Caenorhabditis elegans: one gene and its partner. The protein of the gene in region 1 interacts with the protein of each later gene in a pairwise test. Each region holds a gene or a part of one and is shown in the gene's direction. Other genes may lie near its edges. The genes, in order: cnk-1 and T10C6.6.

What was found.
Region 2: the proteins of cnk-1 (region 1) and T10C6.6 interact in a two-hybrid assay, tested with the Caenorhabditis elegans proteins (one large-scale study listed by BioGRID).

What each region holds. Positions count from the first base shown.
Region 1 is NC_003281.10:10,265,185-10,282,484, forward strand, and holds cnk-1 (Connector enhancer of kinase suppressor of ras), read left to right. Parts: upstream 1-6,072; 5' UTR 6,073-6,119; coding exon 6,120-6,201; intron 6,202-6,248; exon of another isoform or gene 6,249-6,291; coding exon of another isoform or gene 6,292-6,343; intron 6,344-6,556; coding exon 6,557-6,673; intron 6,674-6,724; coding exon 6,725-6,888; intron 6,889-7,473; coding exon 7,474-7,812; intron 7,813-8,573; coding exon 8,574-8,693; intron 8,694-9,123; coding exon 9,124-9,515; intron 9,516-9,789; coding exon 9,790-10,085; intron 10,086-10,839; coding exon 10,840-11,035; intron 11,036-11,096; coding exon 11,097-11,498; intron 11,499-12,191; coding exon 12,192-12,260; intron 12,261-12,468; coding exon 12,469-12,542; intron 12,543-12,646; coding exon 12,647-12,801; 3' UTR 12,802-13,396; downstream 13,397-17,300. Other genes in the region: inpp-4B (PH domain-containing protein), read right to left, coding at 289-424, 643-944, 1,162-1,266, 1,413-1,529, 1,572-1,685; pad-2 (GDP-fucose protein O-fucosyltransferase 2), read left to right, coding at 13,945-14,314, 14,508-14,652, 14,709-14,951, 15,346-15,694, 15,985-16,158.
Region 2 is NC_003283.11:16,018,976-16,033,712, forward strand, and holds T10C6.6 (Major facilitator superfamily (MFS) profile domain-containing protein), read left to right. Parts: upstream 1-5,361; coding exon 5,362-5,417; intron 5,418-5,963; coding exon 5,964-6,216; intron 6,217-6,273; coding exon 6,274-6,626; intron 6,627-7,187; coding exon 7,188-7,214; intron 7,215-7,498; coding exon 7,499-8,084; intron 8,085-8,133; coding exon 8,134-8,256; downstream 8,257-14,737. Other genes in the region: srx-43 (Serpentine receptor class X-43), read left to right, coding at 1-23, 67-129, 177-316, 776-887; srx-44 (7TM GPCR serpentine receptor class x (Srx) domain-containing protein), read left to right, coding at 1,394-1,398, 1,682-1,775, 2,435-2,598, 2,657-2,803, 2,884-3,022, 3,163-3,333, 3,384-3,523, 3,569-3,677; cwc-15 (Spliceosome-associated protein CWC15 homolog), read left to right, coding at 4,380-4,550, 4,598-5,119; T10C6.7 (F-box domain-containing protein), read right to left, coding at 10,360-10,375, 11,388-11,668, 11,946-12,261, 12,304-12,513, 12,562-12,692; T10C6.16 (FBA_2 domain-containing protein), read right to left, coding at 13,496-13,688, 13,810-14,030.

The sequences.
Region 1 (17,300 bases):
GAATCAAAAAATTGGAAAAAAAATCATTAAAAAATTTTTTTTGTAAAAAACTGAGAACCAGTTTAAAAACATTTTTTCAGCTTAAAAAAAAAGAACTGAAAACTGTAAAAAAAATTGAAAAAATTACAAATAAGTCTAAAATGTTAGTTTTTCGTTTTTTTTTCTTACCAAAAATCGTAAAATTCAACTTTTTTGATGTTTTTTATTGTAAAAAATTCCTTTTTTTTAAAGATTTTTCTGGATTTTTTCTAATATTTTTTTTGGCATTTTTGTTGCGTGGATCCTTACAGAATACGCGTCAACAAATTCAAAACATTGCTCATAGGTCTCTGACATTCCACGTAGCTGTCGTATTACTTCATGTAGTCCTGGTATCGAAGATTGAGGCCACGTTTTCAGCCGACTTTCCAATAATCCGGAAAATCTGAAAAAAAAAGTTTATTTTTCGTTTTTTGATACCAATAATTAAATTTTTAATTTCTGTGATTTTATTTAATTTGAAAGAAATAAAAACAGTAGAAAAATGTCTTAAAATTTTGAAAATTGTTTTTTTTTGCATATTTTGGTAGATTTTCTGTGTAGAAAAGTTAATTTTTCAGTTGAAATTCCCATTTTAATACCAAAATCTACAATTTCACATACTCTGAAATCTTTTTCCTATTCAATTTGATAATTTCCTTGGGTAAAATGATTGATAACTTGGTTTCCCACATGCATTCCTCTACAATAACCCGCCGTGCAGGTAAGTTATTCTGTTGGGAGATTGCAAAATTATGAGCAATTCTGAGTGGCGCCGAGAGGTAGAAATTCTGAAAAGCAGAGGTTTTCGGGTCGATTACTCCGTCCGAATCGCCGCCACTGCTTGCCGACGGTGACATTGTGTAGAATTTGTAGGCAAGCTCGTCGAGCTCGGCGCGGGCCATTTGGTGTGAGCACGTGGCGAGCTGGAAGTTTTATGATTTTTTGGAAATTTTTTTAATTGAAAATTCGAGAATTCAGATTTTTTTAAATGAAAAACTGCAATTCGAGACGTCATCGCAGAATTTTCGATTTTTTTTCAGAAAAATCTAGAAAAAATGGTAAGAAAATACATAGCTTTCTGGCTTTTTTTCAAATTTCAAACAACATTTTTTTAAAGCCTAAGCTTAAGCCTAAGCCTACCTTTATCATCCACTGCTCTCGTAATTCTTCACTTTCCACAGATATTTCCAAATTCTCTGCCGGATCCGTGAATGTGAGAAGAAATGTGAATTTTGCGGTATCTGACTGCAAAAATTGTGATTTAAATTGAGGAATTGCAGAGAATTTGCTCCAAAAGTCGTTAAAAATAGTTTTTTTTAAAAGAAAAACAGGAAAATTCAAGAAATTTTCTGATAAAAAGTCTCCTCTGCCACCCAACAAACAAATCGTACATTCTCCTCGAGTTTCTTCAAAACAACTCGCTCTAGCAGGAATATAAGTGGAACACAGGCAGAAGTGACAGCTCCACCGGACTCTTCGACGCACAACACGTTGCCATGGAGAAGGATCTGAGAAAAAAGCGACGTTGATTTATGAGAATTGACATTTACCTTCGCTGAATAGGTTTTTGATTTATAACAAACGGTGGCGGTACCCGATAGATCGTACTCGATATTTTGTTTGTTGAACGCTTTGAATATCTCGTTTGCGTTGTCTTCGTCCATTTTTTGCCCTGAAAAATCGATAATTTTGAAAGAAAAAATTAATTTTGAATGAAAAATTTAAAAATTCAGCAACTTTGAAGCAGAAAAATTAGAAAAATCAGAAAAAATCACGAAAAATCACGAAATACAAATCACGGCCTCCACCACGAGAAATGCGCACACTCTCTCGCTTTTTGTTTGCGCGTTTGCGGACGGCCACCTTGCCTCGCCGCCGCTTTCAGCAGATATTCATGAAATTGAGCCAGAATCGCTATTTTTGAACGAAATTTCGACTAGCAAATCGGAGATTTGCTAGGCTTCGCAGTTTGGTTCGGCGTAGAGTAACTCAAGAAAAATTCGCTTTATTAATATTTAGCCAAGTGTTGAGTAAATGTCAAGTAAATGTGCAGAAGTTTGTCAAGACCGGCCAAATTTAGTTTAATAATAATTTTATAAATAAAAATCTTCACTTTTCAAATCGCACTTAACGGTTCCCCACTGTTTCTACATGTATTCGGGCCTGCGGCCCGCATTGTGAATTATTGGGCCCAAAATAGGCTTAACAGTTGTCCAACGCTTCTATGTGTATTCGGGCCTGTGGCCTTGAACCTGAATTATTTAGCTAAAAATAGGCTTGACGGATCTCCAACACTTCTTCGTGTATTCGGGCATGCGGCCCTCAACTCGGGTTTATTGGGCTCAGAATAGGCTTGATGGCTGTCCAATACTTTTGTGTATTCGGGCCTGCGGCCCTCAATCCGGATTACCTGACCTTTCCAAAAACAGACGTAGTTATGGAAACATACGTCTCATAGAAGGCCTCCAGCCTGCTCTGCTGGGAGTAGGGATAGAAAAGGTCTAAAATTTCTAAGAGTAAGAAGGATTTTTTGGGTTTGAGTGAAAAACAATAGCATTGCAGCCCTCCAGCCTGCCCTGCTGGAAGTGAGGTTTAAAGTGACCAAAATGTCCGAGAAGTGCGGTCCTCCATAGGATTAGAGAAAAAGTAAAAATCTCAAAAAATCTTTAAAATTAAATTCTCCTCACGTTATAAAAATAAGAAATGAAAATTATCGAATTCATCCACAAAAATAGAGAGAGAGAGAGAGTGATAGAAAAGTTTTTCACGTTTAATCCATCTTTTTAATTTTGCTAAATTTGAATGATGGCCTACATTTTGGAAAATGGACCAATTTTTTTTTAAAATAGTTTCAAAAATTGGTAATACAAAGTTCTCTCTTGCGCACAAATTGGAATCAACTGACACAAAAACTGCACGTTTGGGACTGAAAAACATAAAGCTCTTCAGTACAAAGAAAATATTCAAATTTCGCGGTCTCCAGAAACCCGCGCAAATCAGTGTTCTACCCTTCCCAAAACCAATCCCCTCAATAATGACCATGGTGGGGCAACTATTCTTGAGTCATTCGCACTTAGTGAATGCAAAAGCGCCAGCTATGAGCCAAGTTATTAAAGCTCAAAGTTTGTACATTTTTGTCGGACACTCACGTGTCGAAAAGTTGCCCTTATTTTTTTATTTCTGTCAAGAATGCAATTTCCGGATTTAATATAGGAAGAGGCAGACTAGCGCACGCAGTGCGCTAGGCTTCGCAGTAGGTTAAGTTGGTAAACTGGGAAAAATTTGGAACATTTTGGACTAAAATTGACTGAGTTACGATCATTTGAAGATAATATAATTTCTGAGTCTTTTCTATGTGTTTTCCCCTGCGGCCCTCAAGCCGATATGCATGATCTGAAACTGGAAAATTTGTGAAAAAAGTCAACAACTTCTAATTATAAACAGCTTGAGGCAGCTCAAAGAGCGCAAGATGTGGCCTGATTTGGAAAACATGGGTAATTTTGGAAAAAAAAATTTTTTGTATAAAAAAATTAAATAAAAATGTTTAAGAAATGAAAATAATCCAACTCACATCAATGAGCGAACCAAGAGAGAGAGAGAGAGGCAAGGCAGTTTTTCACGTCGATTAAATAAATGTTCATCTTTTTAGTTTTTCGAAAACTTTAATGATGGCCTACATTTTCGAAAGTAGGTCAAATATTTTGAATTATGGCTCAAAAAATCGGGCTCCGTCAGGCCTAACTATGTGTCAAGTTTTGAAAAGATCCAAGAAAAACTCGAATTTTGCATCAATTAAAAGTGGTTTTTTGCCAGTACTAACACATCCACCAAAATGAAGTAGCTTCAGTTTTCCGACTCCCGTGGGCTCCCGGAGCAAAATTGTGCAACCCCGTTTTGATGACCATACTGGGACAGATTTTTGAAAGGGGGAGAAACAAAAATCAAAATTTTCGGGCCACTCCCCGCTGAGCTATAAACTCTCAAAGTACCATTACATGTTTTTTGGACATCATGTGTCGAAAAGTTGCCCTACTTTTATTTTTTCGACAAAAATGGACAACCTTGCAACATTGGGATTTAATGTAGAAGGGAAGGCAGATTTTTTTTCACAGAAATAGTGAAAATTAATAACGTGGAAAATCGGAAATTACAAAAATAGTTAATACGAGCTGTTTTTCAGTGGTTTTTAGCAAGAATTAGATGGAATTAGAAAAATTCTGGACAGAAGAGCACTTTTTTAGATTGAAAATTATTAAATATGGTACGATGAGTGTATTTGAACGGCTTAAATAAAGAAAATATGTACGACTGTGGCTTCGGGCTGATTCTCGCTCTTCTCGTGGTGAAGTGTATGTACTTTATGGACTTTGAACTACAACTTTTTTCGCGTTGGAGATAGAAACTAGCGGTGAACTGACAAAATGAACATCACAAATAGGTGAACATTTCTTTAGTTGACAATTTTTTGATATCTCGTTCCACTAAAAAGATATAGCTATGATTTGATGAATGAAGTCCCAGTTACAGTACCCTCTCTTAAAACCATCAAATCTCTGTTCTCGCTGAAGATACAAAAATATGTTCAACTGAGAAAATGTTAAGCAGATAAAAAACAACATTTACCAGCAAAAACTACATTTCTATCTACAAAAATAATAGATTTTGACTTTTGAAAATTGATCATCTTAAACTGGCCATGTCAAAAAATCCTGAACATTAAAATTGAGTTTTTTATCGGAAACATACTCTATATAAGATATCTAACAAATTTGTAGTTGACTACTTTCTTCTAATGTCTTTATTTTTTGAGTTATGAACTGATCTCTGATTTTCTCATAAATACGGCTTTCGGGGCCTGTAAAAAATTTGTCTTACTAGTTAGAAAAATATTGTCAACAGAAAAAATGTTCACAATGTCACACTGAACATTTTGTTAGTTGACAACTTTTTTGTAACTTTCATAGGAGCGGAGATAGGAGCATCCAAAGTGTGAGGGCGCAGTAGAGTGGGTACTACTGTATCAAAGCACCCAACCTTCTACATCAAATAACATCTTTCAACATTGACGGATTTTTATGTGTGATATGTCAAAATGTGCGTATTAAAAATTAGAACAATCGTATTGTTTCCGATTTTTGAGTCCAAGCCAACTATTTCCTGAAAATTTGGTCATTTTAGTACTGTAGTCAACCTTCTAGATCAAATAACATCTTTCAACATTGACGGATTTTTATGTGTGATATGTTAAAATGTGCGTATTAAAAATTAGAACAATCGTATTGTTTCCGATTTTTGAAATCTTTCATTTTACGGTCACTATCTTCCGGAAAGTGCTGAAATTTTGAGCTGTAAATGTTTGATGTCAAAAAAAGTTTCTCTCATAACTTATTTATTGGGGTTTTTTTGTATTAACTCATTAATTGGGAATATATTGAATACATTTTACAAAAAAAATTTGGGAAAAAATCTTAAACTTGCTCGTTTTAGAGGGGAATGTGTAATATTATGTTCACTCTCTTCACTTATTTCAATGACAAAACTATTCTGTGAAATTTATGCCAGACTGTAGAGGACAGTACTCTTTATCCGTTCCAATTGTTTCTTTTCAGAAATATGCAATTTCCTTTCTTCCCGACTCGTTCTAAGTGAGGTGGTTGAGCGCGCACTCTCGCCATGTTGTGGAGGTGAGAGACGCAGAGACCGCCTTTTTCTCTGCGCTCTCTCTGCGCATTTCTCGTGGTGGAGGCCGTGTCACATCGTAAATCGACAGGGACGAGGAGAATTCTAGGCCACGTCTCCTCCGAGAGGAGTACGCCGAGTTCTCCATAGGACCCGCTCGATAAATTGAGCAATGCTCCTTTTTTCTTGGAATTTTTGTTTTTAATTAGTACTGTACTTGATTTTTCATTTATTTTCATAACTTTTTCGCGAAAAATCAATCAATTTTAGTGTTTGTTTTCAGTTAAAAAAAGAAATTGTTGATTTTATGCAACCTTCTGCACTTTTTCCTCAATTTTTACAATTAATTTGGGAAATTCTGGATTCTTACAGCTGCAGCCAAACTAGCATAATGTTGTGATTGTTCCGAATTTTTGAATATGTTCTCAACCACAATGGGATTTCCGTCGACACCACTTGAAGCCAAACAGGCGTTGGGAATCTCCTCTGGGATTAGTTCAGGTGGGCACAGTTTCTCGGCTACAGTAACCGTGGATACTGTAGCCGGGGAAGAAACTAATTTGTTCGAAAAATTGTTTTTCAAGGACTTTAATGTCCTCACTAACCCGGCACCTTAGCTTAAAACATAATTCACCAGAAACAGGTAAAAAATTGATTTTTGCGAAACTTTTAATTGGGAAAATCCACAAAAATTATTGATTCTTCAATTAAATTGGCGATATTTCCAGAAAACCTTACATATTTAAACGAAAATGAAGCTATTTCCAGCGAAATTGGACGGTTTCTGATTTAAAAATCCACAAAAACTGAAAAAAAAACAGATTTCTTCATTAAAATATTTAAATTTAAATTTCAGTGTCATCCGGTCTCCGTTCGGGAAGTCCGATGCTCTCCGCCAGCTACGAGCCCCAACTCTCGTTTGCCCGATGTGTTGAGCAGTGGAAAGGAAAAGAAATTGCAAGATGGATTGAAGGTTTTTATCGCCGCGGAAAAAAATATTCACTGAAAAATTAATAATTTCCAGGACTTGGCGATCAAATGAATCCATATTTGGGCATGATTCGTGACAATATAAAAAGCGGAAAACAATTGGAGGCTCTCGACGACGATTCGCTCAAAAAAATTGGCATTTCGGCTCTCGGAGCTAGGAAAACGATTTTTCAGGCTGTTTCGTTGCTTCTCTACTTTGTAAGATGGAGTTTTCAACAGGAAAATGGATTTTTTTCGAAATAGAATTTTCAGCAGTTTTTGCTGAATTTTCAACCAATTCTAAAAATCAGCTGTAAAGCTCCACAAAGTTCAGAAGAGATTCTAACTTTTCCGCAAATTTTTGAAGTTTTTAAGATTTTTTTTTGAAAAAAAGTGTCTTTTCGGAGAAAACCACTATTTAGTGAGAAAAAACTTCCATCGGAACTAAACATTTTGTGCAGAAAAAGCTGCTAAAAATCATGAAAAATGGTAAAAAATTATAAGTTTTCTAGGATTTTCAGTCGATTTTTTAAAAATTTAATGATTTTTAAGAGATTTTGAATTTTACTAACTTCTCCGCAATTTTTTCAAAGATGTTTTAATGATTTTCTGTCTACTCTGGAAAAAAAAACCAAAGTAGGCATTCCTGCCTGCCTACCGCCTAATTTTGGATTTTTCGCAGAAAAATTCAAAACTTGCTTTGTACTAATCTCCTGAACATCAAGAAAAAACTCTGAAAGTCTAATTTTTCAAGATTTTTTATCAGAAATTTTGTTGATTTTTAAAAATTATTTTCATTTTCAGTGTCACGAATCGGAACACGAGAATCTCCAACGCCTGGCTCAACAAGTAAAAACCTCGTGTCTCTACGTAGAACGCACGATGACGTCAGCGATGCGAATGCGGGAGAAAGCGATCCGTCGATCGGAAATTGTGAATATTCTGAATAGTGTGTCAAATGCAGTGTTACAGCTCGCCGAGCACACGAAACGATTCGTTTTTTGGCTTGATCGGACTCCGTTTGACGAGGAACCCGAATTTATTAACGTTAGAAATAGTGTTTCTTCTTTTATGTGGAACCTATTGAGAAATGTTAATGTACAACCGAAAGCTTTGTTTGAGACTGGAAGTCAAATTGTTAGGGTGAGGATTTTTAGGTTATCGATGGGATATTTTGACTGAAAATTTGAATTTTAAAAAAATTTGAAAAGTTTTTTTTCAAATCAGACAGTTTCTGAAGATTTCAATGAATATTTCTCAAATAATTAAAAATATTTATTAAAAAACTTGAAATCGAAAAATAATCAGCTTCAAAAGTTTCAGAAAATGTCGGATTTAAAATTTTTCAATTTAAAAAAAAATCAGATTTTTGCCAGAAAAATGTAATTTAAAAAAATTAATTCTTCAGACAATATCTATGATTCTTAAATTTTTTAAATTGATTTTTCTGCAAAAAAATTGGATTTTTTTTTCAAAATTGAGAAAACATCCATTTTCTAATTAAGAACATTTTAAAGTAATTAGAAATTAATTTCTACAATTAATTATTTATTTTATTGGAAAAAAAAATTACAGGATACGATATAATTTTTTTTGAATTAAAAATCAATTTTCCAGACAATAAAAGCGAATTATTATTTTTTAAAGTTTAATTTTTCTCAAAAAAAAAATCCGTTTTGTTTTCCTCAAAATGTTTTATAAAAAATGTAATTTTTTTAATTCTGATGGCTTTAAATATGAAAAAAACTGTTTTTTTTTTGAAAATCACAAGTTAGAAATTATTGCAAAAAATTAACAAATTATAGTTAACTGAATTACAATTTAAAAAAATTGAAATTTTTTCAGTCGTTCTTGAATTAAAAATTTTTTAAATAAAATTAAACTACAAAAAAATTTATTTCCAGATGTCAAAAGAGCTGGCCTATGAATGCCAGAAAATTGTCGACTGTGATGATCCGTTGATCCTGTACGCGTGTTTTATCGAATCTGCTCTACTTCGCCGAAGATCTGATAATATTAATTGGGTAGGTTTTTTACAACAAAAAAATGGAAAAATCCTGGAATTCATCAAAAAAAAATTTTTTTTGATTTTTTCAATTATTCAAAAATGAAATTTATTTATTTATTCACGCTCGCGAAGAGATCGAAGAATTTTTCCAACATTTTCTCATTTTCTTGAGGAAAAACCAGAAAGTTGAGCATAAATCGAAATAATTATTTTTCCGATTTTTTTTTCGAAAAACAAACACGGAAAGCAGAAATAAGTTGATTTTTCCGATTTGTTTCATATTAAAAACATTTTTTAACTTGGAAAACCTGAATTAATTTTAAATTTTTTTTTTAATTTTTATTTTCAGAATTTTGATTTTGTTAAAATATTTTTTTCCAGTATTTTCAATTTTCTTGAGGAAAAACCTGGAACGATCGAGTCCTCAATCCCATCTCAATTTGCAGGGTCTCAACATTCAATCCTCATACCGTGGTGTCCATGTAATTAGTGAAATCAAAGAAGGATCCCCAGCAGACGCGTGTACAAAAATCGACGCAGGCGATGAAATTCTAATGATCAATGGACGAACTGTTGTTGGATGGGATTTGACGAGTGTTGTTCAACAAGTTGGAGCTCTGGATGTCCTGGAGCTCTCACTTATCGTGAAACGCCGTCCCCGAGAGCCTCAACTACCGAAACAATCGAAGCTGGCGGCTCGAGCTCTTGCTCCGTCGAGTCAGACGGCGAAGACCTATTCAACAGATGATTATGATCCATTTGGACAATCTGAACCATTGAAAAGGCATCGAAGTTGTCATGTGATTTCGGAAATTATTAAGGAAAATGAGAGAAAAATGTGAGAATTTTTTTTCAACAAATTTCCAAAATTTTGAACAAAAAAATTAAAAAAAATTTTTAAAGACAAAAATTGGATTTGCTAATTTTTTTTAAATTAAAATTTTATTTTTGAAGTTTAAAATTGGGAATTTTCGGAATTTTCCTTTTTTCACTCCAAATTTGAAAAAAAATTAATGTTTTTTTTCTTTTTTTTTTGAAATTTCAAAATAAAATCAATTTTCTAGAAGAGCAATATTTTCATTCTGAAAAAATTAAAAAAAAAATATTTCCAGCCGAATAAGTCGCCGCCTAATCCGCCGTTCCTCCATAGCCTCTGCGTGTCCGAGAAAAGAACGAAAAAATATAGACGAACGAGCTCTAGACGGAGATGATGAAGATGATTGGGATGTTCATGAATTTATTCGAAATGTAGATGGAGAAGAAGAAGCATTAGTTCCAAGAATTGCTAAAAGAACAAGAACAATGCGTCATCAACCGGATGGTTATGTTCGAAGCTTTATTGATAATAAGCTTGTTACTGATATTGAGGATGATGTCGTCAATGATCAGTTGACTTTTAATGTCAAGTGTAAGTTTTTAGAGAAATACATTTTTTGGCATCAAATTTGTGCACGGAAGGACTGCAATTTGAGTATGGCCAGCCAAAATCTGAAACAAAAATGAAAAAATGTTTTGACCAGAAAAAAATACATAAGAATTCATACAATTTTCTGCTAATTTGAATTTAAAAAATTTTGAAATTAAAAAAAAAAGAAGAAAAATGGCAAAATTTAACAAAATTTTTCGATCATCAACAGTTTTTTACACGGAACGCTATCAAATTCGTTTAAAAAATTGAAAAAAAAAATTAAATTAATTTTTTGAATCATTAAGCCTTAAGTCGACTATAGTCAAAGCAAAATTGGGTCCCGCCACGAAAATCTCGGGGTACTGTAGGTTTTTCGTGACGGGACCTACAGTATTCGAAGTCTAGTTAGGCCAAATTAATAGTTTCCCTAATCTGAAAATAGAAAAGCTTAAAATGAATAAAAAAAATTTTTTTGAGATTTTTCCGAAACTCGACAATTTTTCGCTTCAAAATTCTTGTCGAGACCCCGAATTTTTTGTATATTGTGGCGAAATACCACGTTTTTAAAAATTTTGATTATTTTCAGATTTCAAAGAAATTAGATCGACAGCTCTGAATTTAGTTCGCTAGTTTAGCCTACAGTACCCCCAAGGTATTCGGAACGAGACCCTAAATAGTGAAACCTAGTCATGTTTATACTCAAATTGAATATTTCCATTAGTACGATCTCAATATCCAAATTTCTAATTTCCAGGTCCCAACGAGTTTGCTCAAATTAAAGAAGTCGACAAAGAAGAACTGAAAGTTCTAAATTTACCGGAAGCACGAGTTTCAGACGAAGATTGGAAGGCTCCATACCAAGAGTTTGCGGCTCCAAGTTTCCGAGCTGTCGGTGATTCGAATATTTCCGGATTTAGTCTGGATTCGCCGAGATTATTGCCAGTTTCTAGGTAAAAATAAAGAAATTTTACATTTTTACAGCAAAAAACAGTAAAAACCCTGAAATTCCAGCCGAATGACGTCATCAGTGGAAGAATCAGCGTTCGGCGTACTCCCATCCCCATCCACGTCATCAATGAACAGTGTGAGCAGTCCGGCGCCATTCGGGAAATTTCAAATGTCGACGAGTCAAACCGAGTGGTCACCGAACCCCGACGATCTACCGGGCTCACCAATATCAGCCGCCTACGCAGGAATGGAGAAACTGTTTGAAGGATGGGTGCGGAGGCGGAAAACACGGGCGGAACTGAATGCGAATGAGCTGACGAATAAATGGCCGAAAATATGGATGTGTCTACGTGGACATTATCTTTTGCTGTACACAAATCAGAATACGAAACGGCCTGAAATGGTTATCAATCTGATTAAGGCCACTATTTCGGATTCGACAGATTTGAAGACTTCCAAGAAAAAGTACGAAAAAAAACGCGAAAAATGTGTTTTTTTCTAAGATTTTTATTAATACGTGGTGTCAGGCTGTCCAATCACGGTTTGATCTACAAAAAATGCGGGAATTTTTCGCCCAAAAAAATGTGACGTCAGCAAAATCAGTTCAGAAGTCGGTGTCTCAAACTCCCGTTTTTTTTGTTGATCTACGTAGATCAAACCGACATGGGACATTCTGACACCACGTGTGTTAAAATAGCACAAATCCTGAGATTGCGTATTGCGCAACATATTTGACGCGCAAAATATTTCGTAACGAAAACTACAGTAATTATTTAAAAGACTACTGTAGTGTCGGGCTTAACTTTCGAAATGATATTTTCTCATTTCTTGCATAATTTTAATTTTATTTCAATAAAATAAATTATTTATTTATCGAAAAAATATTAAAAGTTTGCAAGAAATTTGAAAATATCATTTCGAAAGTCAAGCCCGTAAATCGAAACTACAGTAGTCATTTAAAGAATTACTGTAGTTTTCGCCACGAGATATTTCGCGTGGGGAGACCGAGTACCGTATTTTTATTGCAAAAGGCGCGCGGACCCAATGCGCCATATTTGACGCGCAAATTCAGTTTCTCTCATGGAACTCTCAATAATTTAATTCAGATATAGAAAACTAGTGAAAGCTACACATATTTCCTAAAAATGTAATTTTCAGCATATTCCGCATCACTGCTGCTCCGCTCGACTATCATTTTTCATGTTTCACCGCTTTGGACTGGAGGAAGTGAGCTTTATTTCGTCAAATTCATTTGAAACTTGGAGATTTCGACATTTTCATTAGTATATTCATATTCAGCTTGCCGAGAGCTTCAATTTGAGTATAATTATGACTGGACTGGGTCTCGCCACGAAAACCTCAGGGTTACTGTAGGCTTTCGTGGTGGGACACTAGCTTTGGGTCTTGTCACGATTTAAAATATGCAATTTTTCAGTTGGACACAAAAAATGAAGATGGCTAAAGAGATTTTTGCCAATGCTGGCACGCAGCCAAGGATTATGTCACAGTGTAAGTAGATCACGACCGAAAAATGTGTAGGGGGATTAAAAAGTTTTTGAAACCAAGAGTCAAAATATGGGCATGACTTCTTCCAAATCTTCCAGAATTTTCAGCGGTCTCCAGTTACAACAATGACTTGTCCGACCAGAATTTCTTCCTCGGACAACAGACGGGCAGTGGCTTGAGCACATTGCCACGTGTAACCACAAATGGAATGACGACCTCAAAGTCGGGAGGTCTCGGCGGCGGCGGTTTTAAGCAAAAATAATTTACGAATTTTCTAATTTTTCCCTCCATCACCCTCCTTCTCCTGTGAATATTCATGTCCCATCTGTAAATTTTCAGACTTTCAATTTTAGTGGCCTAAAAATTCACATCCTAGGCCACCAACGTGTTTTTGGTGGAAGAGCTTTTTCCTCGGCCACGTGTTATTTTCTATTTTCCCCTGTAAACTGTAAACCCCGCACACACACACACACACAAAATGATCCTCTCCTCGTCCCGAACATCTCGATTTTCATTTCTTCAGTTTCACACTCTAGTCCCACACAAACAAAAAAATCCTTGTCACAAAACTTCACCGCAACCCATTTTATAGCGAGAAAATCAGAAATTTCGGTTTTCGTAACGATGCTCCGATATTCCACAATTTTTGGCCGGAAAAAAAGTTGGTGGCCGAGTTTTTTCTATCCACGGCCACCTATCAATATCAGAGTCTCGTTGCGCGAACCGAAATATCTATTCAGCACCGCCCATCGCCCCATATCCTCCCTTTGAATACTCGTTGTCTCATTTATTGATTTTTCTACTTTATTTCTTGAAAATATATATATAAGTATATATAATAAATTCTCGCTCACTCACAAAAATTGCACATTTTTCCGAATACTCACTGAATCGGCAAGTTCCTGAAAATATCTCGATTTTTTTGTTGTTGAATAGTTTTCCAAACGTTTCTTTCAAATGTAAATTTTCTGCTGAAAAAAAAACGTTTTTTTTGTTGGAAAATCTGGGGAAAAACAGTTTGAAGGCGCATGATGGGTTCTGCCACGAGCCTAGCATTTCCGCTCTATCGCACAGCCAGATTCCCTGCGAAATTTGATTTTCTCGTGTTCAACTATAACTCTCTACTCGAAAACCACAATTCTTATATAAATTTGTTTTTTTTAACTGTTCTTTGAAAATTTTGAAATTGAGACCTCTCGCTCCTAGGGATGTTAGATATCGGAGATTCTGAAACGCTAAAGATTCATTGACTATAAAGTAAAATCTCATATACATATATATATATAATTCAATCGACGTATATTCAAGCTAATTTTGTAATCTTTTAGCACATTACAGAACGTTGCCCCTCTAAGAATTCTAAATTTCAGAATTTTAAGTTCCTCAAAATCTCTCGATTTTCCAGATGCATTTCTTTCCAATTCAATTACTGGTATTATTTTTTGCTGAAAAAATTGCATTTGCTGAAAATTCTGATCAGACCGTGTCTCGGGTGGACTCGAACCGGTATTCGGTTGCCGCCGAGAAGAAATTCCTACTTTACGATGTAAACTTCGGAGAGGGTTTCAATTTACGAAGAGATGTATATATGCGGGTTGCGAATACAGTAAGATCGTTGCGAGACTCTGGAGAAAATTATATTCTCGTGTTGCCTCCATGGGGACGGCTTCATCACTGGAAACGAATGGAGGTGGCGCTTTCGTGGCGTCTTTTTTTCGATTTGGAGAGTTTGAATCGGTTTATTCCGGTTATTGAGTTTGAGGATTTTCTTGACGGTGAGTGCGGAGATGGCCTAGATTTCCAAGATTTGTATTATCAAGGTGGAAGAGTTTTAAAAATCCTCTGCCATGTGGCGATTTACGGAGGCTGGATTCGTGAAGCGTAATTGCAATACATATATTTTTTAAACTCCGGAAAAAAAGAGACGGCTCGCCAAGACTATTGAAGAATTTAAATTATTTTTTTCAGAAACAGAAAATCGTCCGATCGATCAAGTAATCTACCTGCAACATTATGCAGAGGGCTGGGGAACTGAATATGTTCGAAAATTCGAGAAACGGAGCTGCCTTCCACCAGCGGAATCACATTATAAACAGGTGGAAGAGTTCAAATGGTTAGTTTTTCTATATTAATTTTTCTCTTCAATTTAACGTGTCCCTTATTTCACAGGAAAGGCTGGTTCTACTCTTACGAAGACGTGTATTCTAGAAATTTCCAATGTGTTTCGATTCAAGGCGACTCTGGAACGCTGAAAGATCTTCTGAAGCACTCGAATTTTTCTGAATCTACGTCGATTATGGTAGATCGAGCAGAGACAATCCTTCATGAACATTATGGAGAAGTTGATTACTGGAAGGCGAGAAGGAGTATGAGATATTCCAATGATCTTGTGGATGTTGCTGACGCGTTTAGGTGGGAACTTTAATTTTAAACTGGCATATTGATCTACAGAAAATTTTTATATGTACTTTAGAAAAAGTTATAGCAACATAAAGTTGTCAAAATGTGGTTAACTTGAAAACAATCAAATTTAAAGTTTATCTACGTTTTCATTTTTCACATATTTTTCTAGCTTAACATCAAGCTATTGCAGCCGACATACCACGAGTCGTGTTCTCAAAAAAACCCGTGAAATGTCGGCTGCCATAGCTTAATTCTGAACGAAACTAGAAACAGTTGTTTTTTTTTTGCAATCTGTTGCCAATTTTAAGTAGATTAATTTATCTCTATAATACCTTTCGATATGGTTTCTAGGCTCTAGGCTACCATAATAAAAATTAGTTAAAATTAAAACAAAAAATTTAAGAAAAAAGTACTTGGACTCTGACGACAAAAGAGACAAAACCAAGTTAGTTGATGACTGGACTAAAGAAAAGCCAAGAAGAACTGCAATCGGAGGACCATATCTCGGAATTCACTGGAGGCGAAGAGATTTCCTGTATGCTCGGCGTGCACAGCTCCCAACAATTCCTGGGACCGCAAAGATTCTGCAAGATCTGTGCAAGAAGCTTGATCTACAAAAGATCTATCTAGCTACAGATGCTCCGGATCAAGAAGTCGATGAGCTCAAAGCTCTGTTGAATGGAGAGTTGGAAGTTTACAGATTTACTGACACACAGAAGCTTAATGATGGACAAATTGCTATAATTGATCAGGTACTTTTTTTCGTCCTCTTTGTTTTCGGAGTAAGATAGGCTCTTTCCCTTTAGTGGAGTCTGCTTTGAGATTATACATTTTTGAATTTCCTGAATTTACAAAAAAAATTAATTTCAAAAAAGAAGCGATTTCAATATTGTGGGCCCACCCATTTTTGTAGATCAAAAAAAAGATCCACCCACATGAAGGGGGACTAGCTTTTTTTAAGGGGGACCCAACCATTTTGTAGGCGGAGCTTTCAAAAATATTTTTTTGGGAAAAAACGCCTCTACTACAGTACTCCTTACAGTACCTCTGCGCACACGCCGCGTATTTCATCGGAAGCTACGAGTCGACGTTCACATTCCGAATTCAAGAAGATCGAGAAATCATCGGATTCCCGATTTCGACGACTTTCAACCGTCTGTGCCCGGATACGGAGCCCACCTGTGAGCAGCCGGCCAAATGGAAAATAGTTTATTAAATTATTTTTTGTATAATATATTACGGATCTCTTCAATATTGGTTAAAAATCATAATATCTAATTTCATCTGTCAATTTTTGAGAATTGATGCAATTGCGCTCTCTTGTAAAGTTTCGCGTCGAGACCCAATAAATTGGCAAAGGGGCGTGTTTGCACCAAATTTCCCGAGAAAGTAACAATTTAACAAATATGTTTATGGCATAATAAACTTGTTAATACATTTAAATAATCTGTGAACAATAGCATGTATCTCATTGTGTTCAATGTCCCAATTTCCGCAACACTGCTTCCGAATTAATGACCTTTGTGATCCTCCCCACCCCGTTCGATGGTCTTTTCGGTTGCTAGTTTTTTGACGTTTATTTCCAAAAATGTTACATTCAGAAAAAAATATAGTTTTTTGCAATAGGTGATTTTTCAATTTTAAATGATTTTTACAGAACTTGCTTTTCAAAAAAAAAAAACTGAAACGTCATTTCCAGCCACAATTTACGTTTTTTCTTGGAGAAATTGCATTTTTTGACGAGCATGCAAGTGACGTTAACCAAAAAAATTTCTTTGAATTTTCGGGCTTTATTTTTTTAACAAAACCTACATAGAAAATCTTGAAAACATTATTCAGCTCAAAGAACATAATACTCCAAAAATTGAGACAAAAAAACACGAGTCCCATCAATTTTGATCTGAAATTCATGAGAAAAGTCTAAAATTAGACTCGTCTAAAAAGACATCCGTCCCTTATGAAACATCAAATCTGACGCTATTCAAACATGCTTTTTTTTTTGAAAACTCATCCCAAAAAGGATATTACGAAATTTTTGATATTTTTGAACTTTTGAAAAACTAAAATAAAACAATTTCTAGGGTTCTGAAAAATTTTCAACCATTTTTTGAACATTTTTTGAAATTTTTTTATGAAATGATTTTGACTTTTTTTTTCAAAATTTTGTTGAAAATTTTTAAAATTTTGAAAACTATTTATTAGAAATCCCAAATTTATCTGAAAATCAATTTTTAAGATTTCCATGTTGCCTTCCATGAAGGCAATTTTTGAGAAACGTGGTCGAGTTTTCCCAGTCCACGGCCACCTAAAAAAAGTGCCAGTGTCACCCCTTCGAAAAGTTTCACAATATTTAAATAT
Region 2 (14,737 bases), on another chromosome or scaffold:
TGGTTGCTTTGATGGCTTTTAGAGTGAGATTTAGCAGTAATTTGAAAAATAAGAATAAATTTTCAGAGCAAGGTATACCAGAGCCATAGTGTCGAGGTGCGAAGACGTGAGCTGAGCTTTTCTGGACAGGTTGGAAATTCGCAGGAACTTTCAAGTTCAAAATCTAAAATTTCCAGGTCATAATTCAAGGTGCAGTATTTCTGTGTCATGGTGCATGGTATGATATGGGTCACGCGATCCTCCCGGGAAACGACGACCGCTGGAAGTTCTTCTTTACAACTTCGTTCTCATCCAATCTGCTACATGTTTTTGATCCGTAAGTGCTGAAAATTATGCTTCACTAGCGTTCGGAGATGCAAAAAGGCGTTTTCGAACGTAAAATTCACCACTGTTAAATTTCCTTAATTCAAATCTATGTAAAAATCCTCAACAGCGGTGAGAATTGCACTATTCCAACTCTGATAAGCATCCCAGTCTAATGTAAAATCACCTGGATTCTTTTAGTCACACATTTTTGATTCAATGCTCTTCCACGTCATAAGGGGAGTTAGACTCCGATCTAGAGGAAAAACTTGTCTGGAAGGCAACCTACGCCTACGTTGTCTGGAAATCTACCGGCTGCAGTATAGGCGTAGGTTTTCCTCAAGGCTTGGTGCGTCCACAGAGATGTGAAGGTGGCATTTTAGCTGCGTACAAGCTCGAAGAGGAGAAAACTTCAGCAAGAATCGAAAAAATGTGCCAAGTTTTCAGTTTGGTCCTCATAATTTATTTTCAGTGTAGTCGTCTTCGCCTTCAACAAAGAGTTTCGCAGATGGCTTTTCCGTAATTTCAACGTCCCGACAGCTCAGAAGAGAATCGTGACAGTGGTTTCCGCTCATAATACATAATCTTCCTGTTCTAATAACTCCAACTGAACCCCAAACTGTCGTATAGTACATTCTCTCGAACCCTTTTTCTGCACCTATAGGTGTTGAAAACATATGGATTATATCTAAATATTATTCGCTCACTAACGTCATTATAAATTGGACACTTCCCCCGTAATTTGCTCGTATTTCTTTCTGAAAGATCCTGTATAAATTTTTCAATTATTTTTTTTTGGCATTCCAACTAATTTATTCAATAAAACAAAAAACTTGTCTATACATAAGATCAAACCACTCTTCTCTCCGAGCTCAAACTTTTTGAACACCTACTAATTGTTAGCGACAGCTGTAATGTCGGGATTGCAGTCTCATAATTCAAAAAGGGCGGAGTCTGTAGCCAGAAGTCTATAATTATTTTGAGAAACTTCAAAAACACCTGCTTGACAGCACAAAAAAATCATGTTAAAAAATCAATTTTTGGGTAGTCAACGGAAGTATTTCAAGGCGAAGCGTCACGAAACTGGATTATGGTGTAAGTTGATCAAGTTTTAATAATTTTGTTTTTTAGTCTAATATTAATGAATATGAAAACTGAATACTCCAAAAACATTTGAAAATTAAAAAAAAATTCAATCAAAGTTTTGGTAATTTGCCAATTTTGAGAAAAGTTGGGCTTTTTGGAAATGTTAAAACAATATTGCATGTTTGAAGTTTGGAAGTTCCTTCATAGATTTTGATGTTCTTCAGATGGCAATATTTCCAGCAGTGTCTTTTTTCCTTTGAAAATGTGAACCTTTAGCTTTTAAATGTTTCAGAACAACATTTCGAAACGACTCATATTTCACTGAAGCCGACGAAGATTATGTGTTTGGGCCAGATGACACTAAAGCCGGAATGATTATTAGTTTGGTGAGCAACTTTTTTTGGCATTTTCTAAAGAACAATCTTTTTAGGAAGTATATTGAAAGTAGTTATTATCAGTACAATGAATAAAGAGATAAGAGCTTATGCTACTAATGTGTAGCATTCGTAGTTTGTAGTCAGTGGCGTCACGTACCTTTCGAGGAATTTCAAAATCTCACTTTTATAGATTCAATTCTGGGCAGAAATTTTTTGAAGTTCGGTAAAAAATGTCTAAGTTTTTCCAAAGCCTGGGACGATATTTTGCAAGAAGTAACAGAAGGTAGTCAAAGTTCTAAAGGGATTATCCAAAATTTAACAGAAAATTGCCAATACTTGAAATAAAACATTTTAAAGTTTGACAGAAATGTCCAAACTTTGGTTGAAAATTTCCAAAGTTTTATCGGAAATTGTTAAAGTTTGACTGAGAAAATAGTCAAAGTCTGGACAAAAGTTTCTTAAGTTTGCCAACAAATAGACAAAGTTCTATAGAACATTTCCAAAATTTGGCAAACATTTTTCAAGGTTTGGCAACAATTTTAAACGTTTGGCAGAACATTGTCAAAGTTCTGCAGATACGTATCTTCCAAAGATTTTCAGAAAATTTCCAAACTTCGACTAAAAATTCTCAAATTTTGGCAGAAAGTTAACAAATTTCTAATTTTCAGGTCGGCTTCATCGGAGTCTCTGTTCAATCTGTCGTTGTCACCGGCGCATATAATATCAAGAACATGAAGGGTACCGTATTTGGAGCCCTAATTTTAAATGAAACATTTTCCCAGTTTGCGGCAACTTCCATCACATTTTTCTTCTTTTTCGTAGGAATTTTTTTGTTAGTTTATACTTTTTTTGCGCACTAAATAATCTCCAACCGTATTGAAACATTCTAGAAACACAATATTAATTGTCAGTAATTCTGCAATTTTCGGAAATATATCCCTGACAATTTTGCCAATTATGCTGGGCACCCACTTTCTGATGGCTTTCAACAGGTTTTGTGCTTCAAGTATGCCATTTGGATACAGAAAAATCTTTAGGTATGTTTATAGGATGCCTACCTGCCTGCTTGGTAGGCTCACGGTAGGCGTAGGTCGCCTGAGGAGATTACGTTTTTCAGCAAAAATTACGTACTCACTTACATCATCATAAATTGGACACTTCCCCCCGTAATTTATTCGTATTTTTTCTTCTTTTATAATTGTTCCTTCCCGTTTTTCCAATTTGGGTGGGTTTTCATGGAAGCTCAGCGGAATGAGGTGAGATTTCGGGGTCTTGCCACGAGCGAAACTTTTCGGCTACAGTACTTGGTGCAAATGGTCTCGACACGGCAAAAAATTGGTTACGGTAGCTGAAGCGTGACAGGACCCCGAGCGTGATTTTGATTGAGCATTTCCAGACATGTGGAGCAAAACTTCTACTGTTAAGCCTATCTGTTCAGTTCGTGATTATCTTTATTATCACAATTCTGGATATTTCCACGTTTATCATTCTTATCACTTGTCGAAAATCGATATTTAAAGGGCAAAGTAAAGAGAATAAACAACGCGATATCAATTTTGCGATGCAGGTGCGCTGTAAACGAGCTCTTGCAAAATAAATTCAAATTCCTTGTTTTAGGTGATAATTCAGGGAATTGTTATGGTGTTTTTTGGTGTTTGGTATGTTTCCGGTTATTCGTTTTTGCCTGGCAACAGGCTGGATTGGAAAATTTTTATGACAACTACGGTCTCGTCTTCTTTAACTAATTGCCTAGCACCGTTAGTGCTATATTTCACGAGCAATATCAATTTTTCAGTTTTCAGAATAGTAATATGTTTTTTCAATGCAGAATATCGCCGATGGATTATTCGTTTGATTCGCCGAGAAGGAGCATCACAGAATTTGACAGTTGTGTTGAGTAGGACTTCATAAATAATCAATTTTTATTAAAAATTTGTTAGATAAACGTTTTTTATTTGTTTCTCTTTTGAAAATTCCCTGAAAGTGTGTTTAAAATTCGATTTCCACCCGAAACCAAATTGGCGAAAACTCATATTCAAAACTCGCGCCGAAATGTGGTGGTGGCCGCGTGGCCGCGGACTAAGTGACGCCGCTAGGCCATTTGGCGAAAATCAATTTATAAATTTTTCCCGATGTTTTTAAAGTTTCTCGTCGTTTTCTATCATTTTCTACTTGTTTTTTCGTTAATTGAAAAGTGAAACATCGTTTATGCAAACTTTTTACTGAAGAATCTGTGTCAAAATTGTTAATTTTGAGGCTAAAAGCACTGAAGATCGGGACAAAGGTTTAATTTCGAATTCCGATAGATTTAAATAAGAATAATGTTTTTTTCTACTTTTTTAATGGTTTTTCATGTAAATTACTAAACTTGCACATGTTTGTATGAAAAATTGCAATAGAAAAACGATTATTTTACGTTCAAATTGAAAAATTGTATACTTCCGAGCAATTTCTTGTTCCGATCCGGAAAAAAAGTTTAAATTTCAAATTCAAACAAGTTAAACAAACATAAATTTTATTTTCGTTCCATATTTATTACTTTTCGCACAAAGTATCTTATATTTCCTCTGTTCTCTCGAAATAACGTTCACAAATTGTAATTTTTTCAGCAAAATGACCACGGCCCATCGTCCAACTTTTCACCCAGCTCGCGGAGGAACCGCTCGTGGTGAAGGAGATCTGTCGAAGCTCTCGAATCAATACTCGTCGAAGGATATGCCATCTCACACCAAAATGAAGTACAGACAGACCGGACAGGAGACTGAAGCCGATTTGAGAAAGAAGGTAAACGAAAAATCAATGATTTTCAAGCAATATAAAATAATTTTCAGGATCTCCGTCGTGAATTGGAAGACAAGGAGCGAAACGCAATCCGTGAGAAGCGTGCTCGTGACTCTGCTTCTTCGTCTTCAAGCCATTCGAAACGCCAACGAATGGATCAAATTGCTGCCGAGTCAGCGGCGTCTGTGGATGCAGATGAAGCAGTGGACGAGCTGAATTCGTCAGACGACGATGACTCCGATGAGGATGACACTGCAGCGTTGATGGCGGAGCTGGAGAAGATCAAGAAAGAACGAGCAGAAGAGAAGGCGGCGAGAGACGAGGAAATTAAGGAGAAGGAGGAGAAGCAAAGAATGGAGAATATTCTAGCCGGAAATCCACTGCTCAACGATACTCCAGCCGGATCCTCCACTTCTGGAGGCGATTTCACTGTGAAACGACGATGGGATGATGACGTGGTCTTCAAGAATTGTGCAAAAGGAGTCGAGGAGAGAAAGAAGGAGGTCACATTCATCAACGATGCTATCAGATCGGAATTCCACAAGAAATTCATGGACAAATACATTAAATAATTGATTTTTGTCTAATGATTCATCCATTTTTCACTGTTTTCCATCAATTTTCACTCAATTATATGCCACTGGCTCGACAAAACAATAAACGTGATATTTTGTAGTGTGTACCCTTTCAGAGCTCGTAGGCCGTATCGACTTTTCAAGTACTTTTGTCCTTTTTCCTTATCAATAGTAGTTATCAACCTTATCAATATATACGGAGCAGTCTCAATTTTAATATTAATCAAGTTTTTTTCAAAATGGTACAGACGATGTCGTCACGGAAGGTGATGGTGTTCGTGGTGACGTTTGTCAGGTAAGATTTTCACATTTCTAAAGTAATTTTCAAGTAAACCGGATGATTTTCGTATCAAAAATACAATTTTTCCACAAAAATATTTGCATTTTAACATGAAAAACTTCGAAAAAATCCTAGAAAGTCAATAAAAATAAAATCGTAACCACTTAAAGGCACAGGGGCTTATTCGGATGGGTCTCGCCACGAGAAGAACGTTTATGGTACCATTTTTTCGTTTTCCAGCGCCGGTTGTCTCCTTAATTCGTTTTCATCAATTTTAACAGGTTTCAAGCAATGTAATTGATTTTTTTATTTAATTGCTGAGAAAAGCAAATATTTCATAGATAAATAAGAAAAACGACCGCCGCAAAATTGAAAAAAACGAGATTAAATACTGTTGTCATTTTCCTGGCGAGACCCAGCCGAATAAATCCATTCGCCTTCAAAGAAAAAACAACTTTTTTCGTAAAACACCAACCATTCTTGTTTTACACGCTCAATACGTAATTATGCACAGTTAAAATACTCAAATTCTCAAAATTTCCTTAATTTTTAATATTTCAGTTACGGCCTGTACCACGCGAGTCGCAAAGCATTATCCGGAGTGAAATCGTCGATAAAAGCGGATTGGCTGAGCAACTCGTCCGGCCACGCGCCACTATTCACCAATGAAGCCGACGCCAAGCACTTTTTGGGATCACTCGACGCGATTTTCATGGCGGCCTACGCGGCGGCTCTCTTCTTTTGGGGTTGGCTCGGCGATCGGCTGAATCCGAAGCTTGTCGTCGCAGCTGGAATGGTTGGCTCTGCGGTTACGGTGAGTACAAACTGCTAGGCTTCTAAATTCCTAATTCGTTTAAAATTCAATTTTCAGCTCACTCTCTTCGGCGCCATCCCAAAATGGTTCAATTTCTACCATGCGCCCTACTATATCATGACCTACGTGGCGTTTGGGCTTGTTCAGGCCTGCGGATGGCCCAGTGAAATCGCGATTATGGCCAACTGGTTCGGAAAAGGAAATCGCGGATTTGTGATGGGTGTCTGGGCCGCGTGTCAGCCCGTCGGCAACATTTTCGGATCGATTTTCACGGCGATGGTGCTTCCACTAGGTTATCAGTACACTTTTGTGTTCAATTCGGTGCTCATTGCTCTCGGAGCAATTGTAGTCGTCATGGCTATTGATTCATCGCCTAATGAAGAGCATGAGGATGGCGTAGAGGCAAATAGGTAAGAGTTGAGAAGAAATAGGTCTTGCCACGATTTCGTACTGTCGTAAACACCCTAATATTTTGTGTAGACCTCCAAGTGTCGATTTACGCAGCTCGTGTAGTCCTCGAGGAGAAACATGCAAATTTTTACCACAGAAAATAACACAATTTTTGGCAAAAAATGCTTGAATTTTAACATTTTCGCTTTTTCTTCTTGAAAAATATAATTATTTCTGCTAAAAACTACATAATATGTAATTTTAAAGTTTTTTAATCAGTAAATACACAGCTTTTCACCTGAAAATCTCCAAAAAGTTGATAATTTGACTGTTACACCGCTTCTTATTCAACGGCAATGATCCAAAATCGAGCGTTTTTGCCGCCGAAGACTTCTACTTTAAAAAAATGCAAGCTCGTCCTCGGGGAATACACGATCTGCGTAAATCGACGCAACTATCTTTTCACTTCCAAAGCTTGCAATTTGAAAAAAAAAACAATACGAAATCGTGCCAAGTCCACAAAAATCTAACAGAAACACACGATTTTTTTTTCAAAAAACCAAAATTTTTCCTTTTCCTAGGATTCGCCTTCTCCGACGATCTAGCAGGTGGGAAAATTCGCGAACGTTCGTTGTTCTGTTTCTTTTGTTTTGTGCGTGTGTGGATTTTTTACGTTTCAAAATCGTAAATGCATGAGCCCGCCAACTTCTCTCTGATTTCGAAACTATCGTTTGAAATTTCAAATTTCAATTGAAATCCTCACACTGACCGTGTACTCCTCGAGGAGAAGTGTGATTTTTCTATTTTCCTCGTGGAGTACACGAGTAAAAGAGTCCGTTCTCACAGCCATTTTAAGCGTTAAAACTTCATTATTTATTCTATTTAATTCCAGCTCCGAGCCCCATCACAACTTCCACGGTGAGCCAATATCCCTCTTCAAGGCCGTTCTTCTGCCAGGCGTGCTCGCCTACTGCATCTGCAATGCCTGCCTGAAACTCGTCAACTACGCCTTCTTTTTCTGGCTTCCACTCTACTTGACCGATGCCTATCACTGGGAAGAGTCGCAGGCGGATCAGTTGAGCATTTGGTACGATTTTGGAGGCATTATTGGAAGTGTGCTCGGCGGATACATTACTGACAAGATGGGAAAACGATCTCCGCTCATCGTCGCGATGCTCGTGTGCTCCATTGGCTCGCTGTACTTTTACGCTCACGTCGGGCCGCACATGTTCTGGAATGCGGTCGTCATGACCACCGTCGGAGTTACAGTCTCTGGGCCGTACAACTTGATCGTTGGGTCCATCTCAATCGATCTAGGATCACAACCTGCTCTAGCTGGGAACACACAGGCGATGTCCACGGTGTCGGGATTGTTGGATGGCACTGGATCGGCAGGATCCGCTGTTGGACAGCTTCTCATTCCGATCATCCAGGACGACCTGGGATGGAAGGCTGTGTTCTATGTGTTCATGCTATTGGTATGCTACGATTTTTCTTCTTCCATAAAATAATTAAATTAATTTTCAGAACGGATTCGCCATCCTAGCCATCCTCAAGCGCTGCATCATCGATCTGAAATCGCTTCGAAAGCTCCGCAGTGGAGAAGAATCTCCGCTTCTCAATGACGAAGCCGGTGATCACGAGGACTGATAACTTAATTTTGTTTAATTTTATTGATTTACATAATTCTCGCTAACACTTCCACCCCTCACAGTTTTAATTCCAAGTTTATGTACATGTTGATATACGGATTCCCATTGATTGTTCCACCCCAAAGATTCTATTTGCCTTCTTCAATTTCCTTCCTGTGATGATGGGTAGTCTTCCACCTTTTTTTGTGCAATGTTGTTGATATGAACCAAATTATACAGAGAATTAGTTCATTTTTTGAAATAGAATAATAATAGACGACACATAGTTTAGTAGTGGAAAGGATCAAAAAAATATTCAGATTCCCTTAGCATTGGTCGATCAAAATGCCGCCGGTTCCAGACAACGAACAAAATTTTTTTACCCGAATGGAACAGGGTGGCGAGTTTTCCGTCACCTTCTATGTCCTTGCCGTTTTCCAGATCCAGGAGATATGGTTTGAATTGGTTGTCCATTCTGAAAATATGAGCTTAAGAAATTTTGATCCCTGAGACGTCATTCTGCAAGTCTGCGGCGCGGTTATTCGTGTCGATTTACGCAGACCACCGTTTACAGTGTTTTTTCTATAATATATTATATTTATAACTTTCACCTAAAACTAGAAGCAATTCGGGAAATAGTACACGGCGGTTGGCGTAAATAAAAAAAATCTCTAAAAACTGACATATAATATTGATTTCTGTTTCCCCGATCCCATGGCTGAAGATTCAGGTTGATTTTAAGATTATCCGCATTGAATGCAACATTGTTTAGAATCTCGAGTCTTTTCAGATTGCTGCATTTTCCAAGTGTCCACTGCTGGATGAACGCGTTGACATCAAGCGCGGTGAGGTTAGTGTAGGTAAGCGTGAGACGAGTGAAATTCACGCTCTGAAGGAACGCACGAGTCATCCAATTAGCATTCATGAGGCAAACGTTGCGGAGGGTGAACATCTGGAAGAGCGAAAAATGAATAATCGAGTTTGAAATAGGGATTGAAATTCGCCGGCGCAAATTGTATACGCTTCAGCCGGCGGCGGCGCCTGATAATACGAAACAGGTTCAGAACTTACAAACTAAAATATCATATATCAGGCATTTTTTAACACTTAATCTGACCACATACACAGCGTGCGCCGCCAGCGGAACTACACAATCCTCTCTGTACCGACGCCGGCGGCGGCGCAAACCAAACTGCGCAGCCGCCGACGCTCAGGCTGTCACAGCGCCCCGCCAAATTGGTCCTTTTTCAAGCCCTAGTTTGAAATGCCTCCAACACAGTTATTGCGGTCTAAGACGTTTTTGACTAGACTTTAGACAGCTTACCTCATTCAGATCGAACTTAGTTGTGTCGATAGGGAGATTAATGATGATTCCATCCAAAAGTTCGTAATCGTCAAGCAAGTTCCTCATGTTCGTGTGAGACCGACTTAAGTTTCCAGTCAGCTTCAGCGTGAGGCGATCGTTGAAAATTTTGTACTTAGCGAAATCGATTAGTTTCGGAGGTTTGCACTGAGAACCCAACTTGACTTGAGCAAGTCCAGCGCGACATTGGAAAATTTCGGAGAAATACTGAAGACAAGGTTCCACACAAGCATCAAAGCTGTCAGTGATGAAATTGAATCGAGTTTTTTTGGTGAAGCTGAAAATTTGGATTTTTTAAAGTTAAAAAAGAGCTGACTCACCTTATCAACTGGATTTCTCGATCTCCAAACTTTAGCGGATCGAGACGCGTTCCCGCAAAATTTTCAGGTTTTGGTACGAAATAGAAAATGAGTACGGGACATTTGCCAATTATTGCGGAAAGATATTGAGCCATGGTCTGACGAAAAACAAACCGCAACGTGGTCAAATGTGATACGTGCATCCTTGATCAACGTGCGTATTCTCTCCGATAACTGGGACAATTGAAATCTGTAAAATTAAATAAATTATTTCCTTTCTGAATTTCTTATACAAGAAAAAAAATAACTCACACTTTAGCAGGGCCGAGTATTTTGAGAACGTTGGCAAAGGATTTGGCGTCTAGCTGCAGAAGCTTGGGGAACTTCGGTAAAGCGGCCGATACCGGTGATACCACCGGTACTCGAGGAGGAGACGGCGGTATATTGAAGTTACAGCAACTCATTGCGCAGTTGGACTGAGTGAGTAGAAAAGAATGACAAATTCGATTGGAGGAGGAGGTTGAGTGGAGAGGGCATGGTCAATGTGTTCTCCTGGGAAGAGGAGAGCGTGCGCGCGAACATTTCTTTTCATTTTTGAGGAAGATGTTGTTTTTATGGAAATTATCGATTCTAGACTTGCGAGGACTTTGGACGTTTTCATTTGGAAAATCATTTAGAAATTAATACGATTTGTTATGGGGCTACCGTATCTCTACAAAATTCAAAGACACATCAATATATGTACAATTGAATTTTGCTGAATTCAGCAGTGAGGCTTCCATGTAGGCGTTGAAACGCCTGCCTGCCTGACCTTGAGGCGACCTGCCTCTCGCCTCAATCCGTATAGGTGAACTTTTTTCGTTTTCATCGAATCTATAGAAATTAAAAAATTAGAAATTTATAAGCTCACACTTTAAATATGCAAAAAAAAGAGGCCGGCGTGAGGCGAGCAGGTTTCAGGCAGGCGTCAAACCCTGAAGCCGCGCCTGCCTACCATGGAAGCCCTATTTATAGGAATGGAATTTTGCGTTTCGTCTCTCCCCGATTGTTCTCCCAAAGATTCCATTTGTCATCCATTCTGTGATGATGGGTAGTCTTCCAAATTTTGTGTAATATTGCTGATATGATATGATATGATATGACAATTTCTGAGCCGATTCAAAACCTTAAGCTTCAGTTTGAGCCTAAACCTAAACCCAAACCTAAGCTTAAGACTAAGCCAAAGCCTAAGACTAAACCCAAGCTTAAGCCTAAGACAAAGCCTAAGCCTAAACCCGAGCTTGAGCCTAAGAGGGAGCCTAAGCCTAAGCATAAGCCCAAGCCCAAGTCTAAGCATATACCTAAGCCTAAGCTTAAGACGAGGCCTAAGCCTAAGACAAAGTCTAAGCCTAAACCCAAGCTTGAGCCTAAGCCTACGCAGAAGCCTAAAGGCAAAGCCCAGCCTAATAGTATGCATAATTAAAATAGGAAATAATTTCGAAAACTGACATGTGGAACTGATCTCTTCTTTCTGTATCTCGTGTCATAAACGTTAGGCCCCCCTTAAGAAAGTCCGAATTGAGTTGAACTTTGTTCCAAATCTCGATGAATTTCAAGTTATCCCAGTTTCCGTTTCTCCAGTGATTGATTATCTTAGTCACGTCTTCCTCTTTGAACTTGATGTTCATAAGTGTGAGCCGAGTGAGATTCCCAGTGATACGCATGTCCATAATTACGCTACTAGTAATCCAGTCACACTTCGTGATGCACACGTGAGGTAGGGAGAAGATCTGAAAGAAAATGTATTATTATTTTTTTGGTTTTACTATTAGTCGGTAATCCAAAATTTTGTTGATTTCGGAATTATAAATCCAAAAGGAAAAGTGCTCATTCATTTTTTGCCGAGAAGTTCAGTTTTTAAAGAAAAATTTAAAAAAAAACATATATTTTTGTTTTGTTGTGTGAATCAGGACATGGCCAAGTTAGACGTTTACGGCTAGTTATCTTTTACAAATAAAACTTGTATTAAAGTTTTGCCAAAACTTCAACAAACAAAAAAGTTCTCACCTTTTCCTCTTTGAAGTTAACGGAGTTGAGGTCAATGACGATTCCATGTAAAACATTCTTCTTGGGAAGCAACTGGAGCTCATTTTCGTATATAGTTCTTAGTTCTCCATGCAATTTCAGCACAAGGTGATTTTTGAAAAATTCCATTTCAAGGAAAACTCTCAATGTTTGGGGGTATAACTGATATTGAGGGTACACTTTGAATGATACGAGTTTACAGCGACAAACGAAAAGTTTGGAGAAATACTGGACGCAGGCTGCCACAGAAGACATGACGTTTGTAGTGTGGCATTTGAATTCGGTATGATTGTCAAGGCTGAAAACTTGGATATTTGAGAGCTGAAAAATGCTCACTCACAACGCCAGAATTTTTTGGCGTTCAAATTTCAGCTTCCTCGTACAATCTTCAGCTTTTGCGTTGAAGTAGAAAATGAGAAGCTGCTTCTCATTTATGCGAAATTCTATTGAATTAGAATTTTCCGAAAGTTTAATGACGATGTGGTCAAATGTGATGTTAGCAGCCTGGATCAACATGCACATTCTATTCGACAACTGGGACAATTGGAATCTGAAACATAACTTATTTCTTACAATTCATTCCAAGAAGCAAACTCACATTTTAACAGCGCCAAGAATCTTGAGAATGTTGGCGAAGGCTGGGGGAGGGAGCTGCAAGAGCCGTTTGAACTTCGGTTGTTTCTGCCTTCTCTTAAACAAATTACAGAAGAGCCAATTGAGGGCATCCATTGCACAGTTTGAATGGGTGAGTAGGAAAGAATGACAAATTCGATTGGTGGAGGAGGACGCATGAAGAGGGCATGGTCAATATGTTCTCCTGGGAAGAGGAGAGCGCGCGCGCGCGAACATTTCTTCTCGTTTTTGAGGAGGATATTGTTTTTGTTGGAAATTATCGATTCTAGACTTGCGAGGACTTTTCATTTGGAAATATTTTAGAAATAAATATGATTTGATAAGGGGCTACCGTATCACTAAAAAATTCATTTAAATAGTAGACATACCAAAATACAATTGAATTTAGGTATATCAAACTCTCGACTTTTTTCCAGGAAAAATCAGAAAAAAGTCAACACTCGGTTGGCCAATGGAAACACAACTTTCTGAAACAACTCTACATGTATGCAAACCATTACATGAGGTTAGAGATCATACCTTTGCATCTTGTTCCCGGTTTGTATTATAAGAATACAGATTTTTAGAAAGGGAAGATAATTATATTGAAAAAAGGAATGGTTGGAACATTTTTTTAGAAATTTGGAAAAATTCTAGAAACTTCTAAACTTGTTAAAATCTTTAAAAAACGTTGAGAATTTTCTGTAAATTTCTGGACAACTCTACATTAATTTCAAAATCATGTACAAGTTGATATACGGGTTCCCGATTGTTCCCCCAAAGATTCTATTTGCCTTCTTCAATTTCCTTCCTGTGATGATGATTCCACTTTTTGTACGATGTTGTTAATTATATGAACCAACTTATACAAAGAATTAGTTTACTTTTCAAAATAAATCATTAATAGACGACAAATAATCTTAAAAAAGATGTTCGTCAAAAGTATGCTCAGATTGGCGAGGGTAGTCAGGGATGTCGCCATTTTGGTGAAAAGTCCACACAGCAAACAAAAACTTATGATCCGAATGCAAAATTGTGGCGCGTCGTCCGATTCTTTCCACGTCGTAACCTTTCTCAAGTTTCAGAAGATAGGGGTTTTTGTAGTGGTCCATTCTGAAAATATATAAGTATAATTGATAATCCTGGCTAAAGATTTTGGCTCTTGTGTCGATTTACGACGCCGTAAAAAACCGTAAGCCTTCAGACACTAGAGATAATAAGGTCAAAAACTAACATGTAGCATCTATCTCCCCTTGTCGGATCTCTTGGCAGTACATGTAAGCCCATTTTAAGGTGGTTCGAGTCGAGGTTCTGATTGGCACAAATCTCGATGGTTTGCAAGTAATGACAGTTCTCGTTCTGCCAGTGTTTGATGAGCATGTTCACGTCCAGCGCGGTGAGCTTGGTGTACATCAGCGTGAGCCGAGTGAGTCTCTCAGTGAGACTCACGTCCATAATTGTGTCACGAGTAATCCAGCCCTTTTTAATAAAGCACACATGAGGCAGGGAGAAGATCTGAAAGCAAATGTTGTCTTTTCTTGAATTTTGGACCGATAATCGTTGATTTCGGACCTAAAAAAGATTTCAAAGCAACTCCTTCTCTTTTTACTCTTTTTGGCAAAAATTCTCAATACTCTATCTACATTCAATACATTAGAGGTGGCCCATGATCCAAGGGCACATCGGATTGTAGGTACACTTGCTCAGGAGGTACAATAATTTTTAAGGTATATCTGGTTTGCTCAAATGGTACATCCATGCTATTTTGTTGCTTTTGGACTGTGTTTTGAATATTTAAAATGAAGAAAAACAACTTTGCACTTTTCTATGATATCCAATCAATTGTCCAAATGTTTTCTTTAAGAACTTTAACTTTAATAAATTGGAGTTTCAAAAATCCGCTGCATCTATTGAATAAAACTGAATGTACCCCTTGAATATACTATAGTATGTAGTAGTAATAGTAGTGCGAAGCACCACGGATGGGCTCCCATGGAAGTCTCCGGATCCACCTGGATCGAAAACATTCGTGGTGAGACCGAGGGCTTCCGCCACTGATCTGGGATTCTTCCAGAGTTTTGACGGCGTGAGCGGTGGGAGGTCGTACATTCCAGCAGATGATCAACGCTGATCAACGGTGGAGGAGGACGCATGAAGAGGGC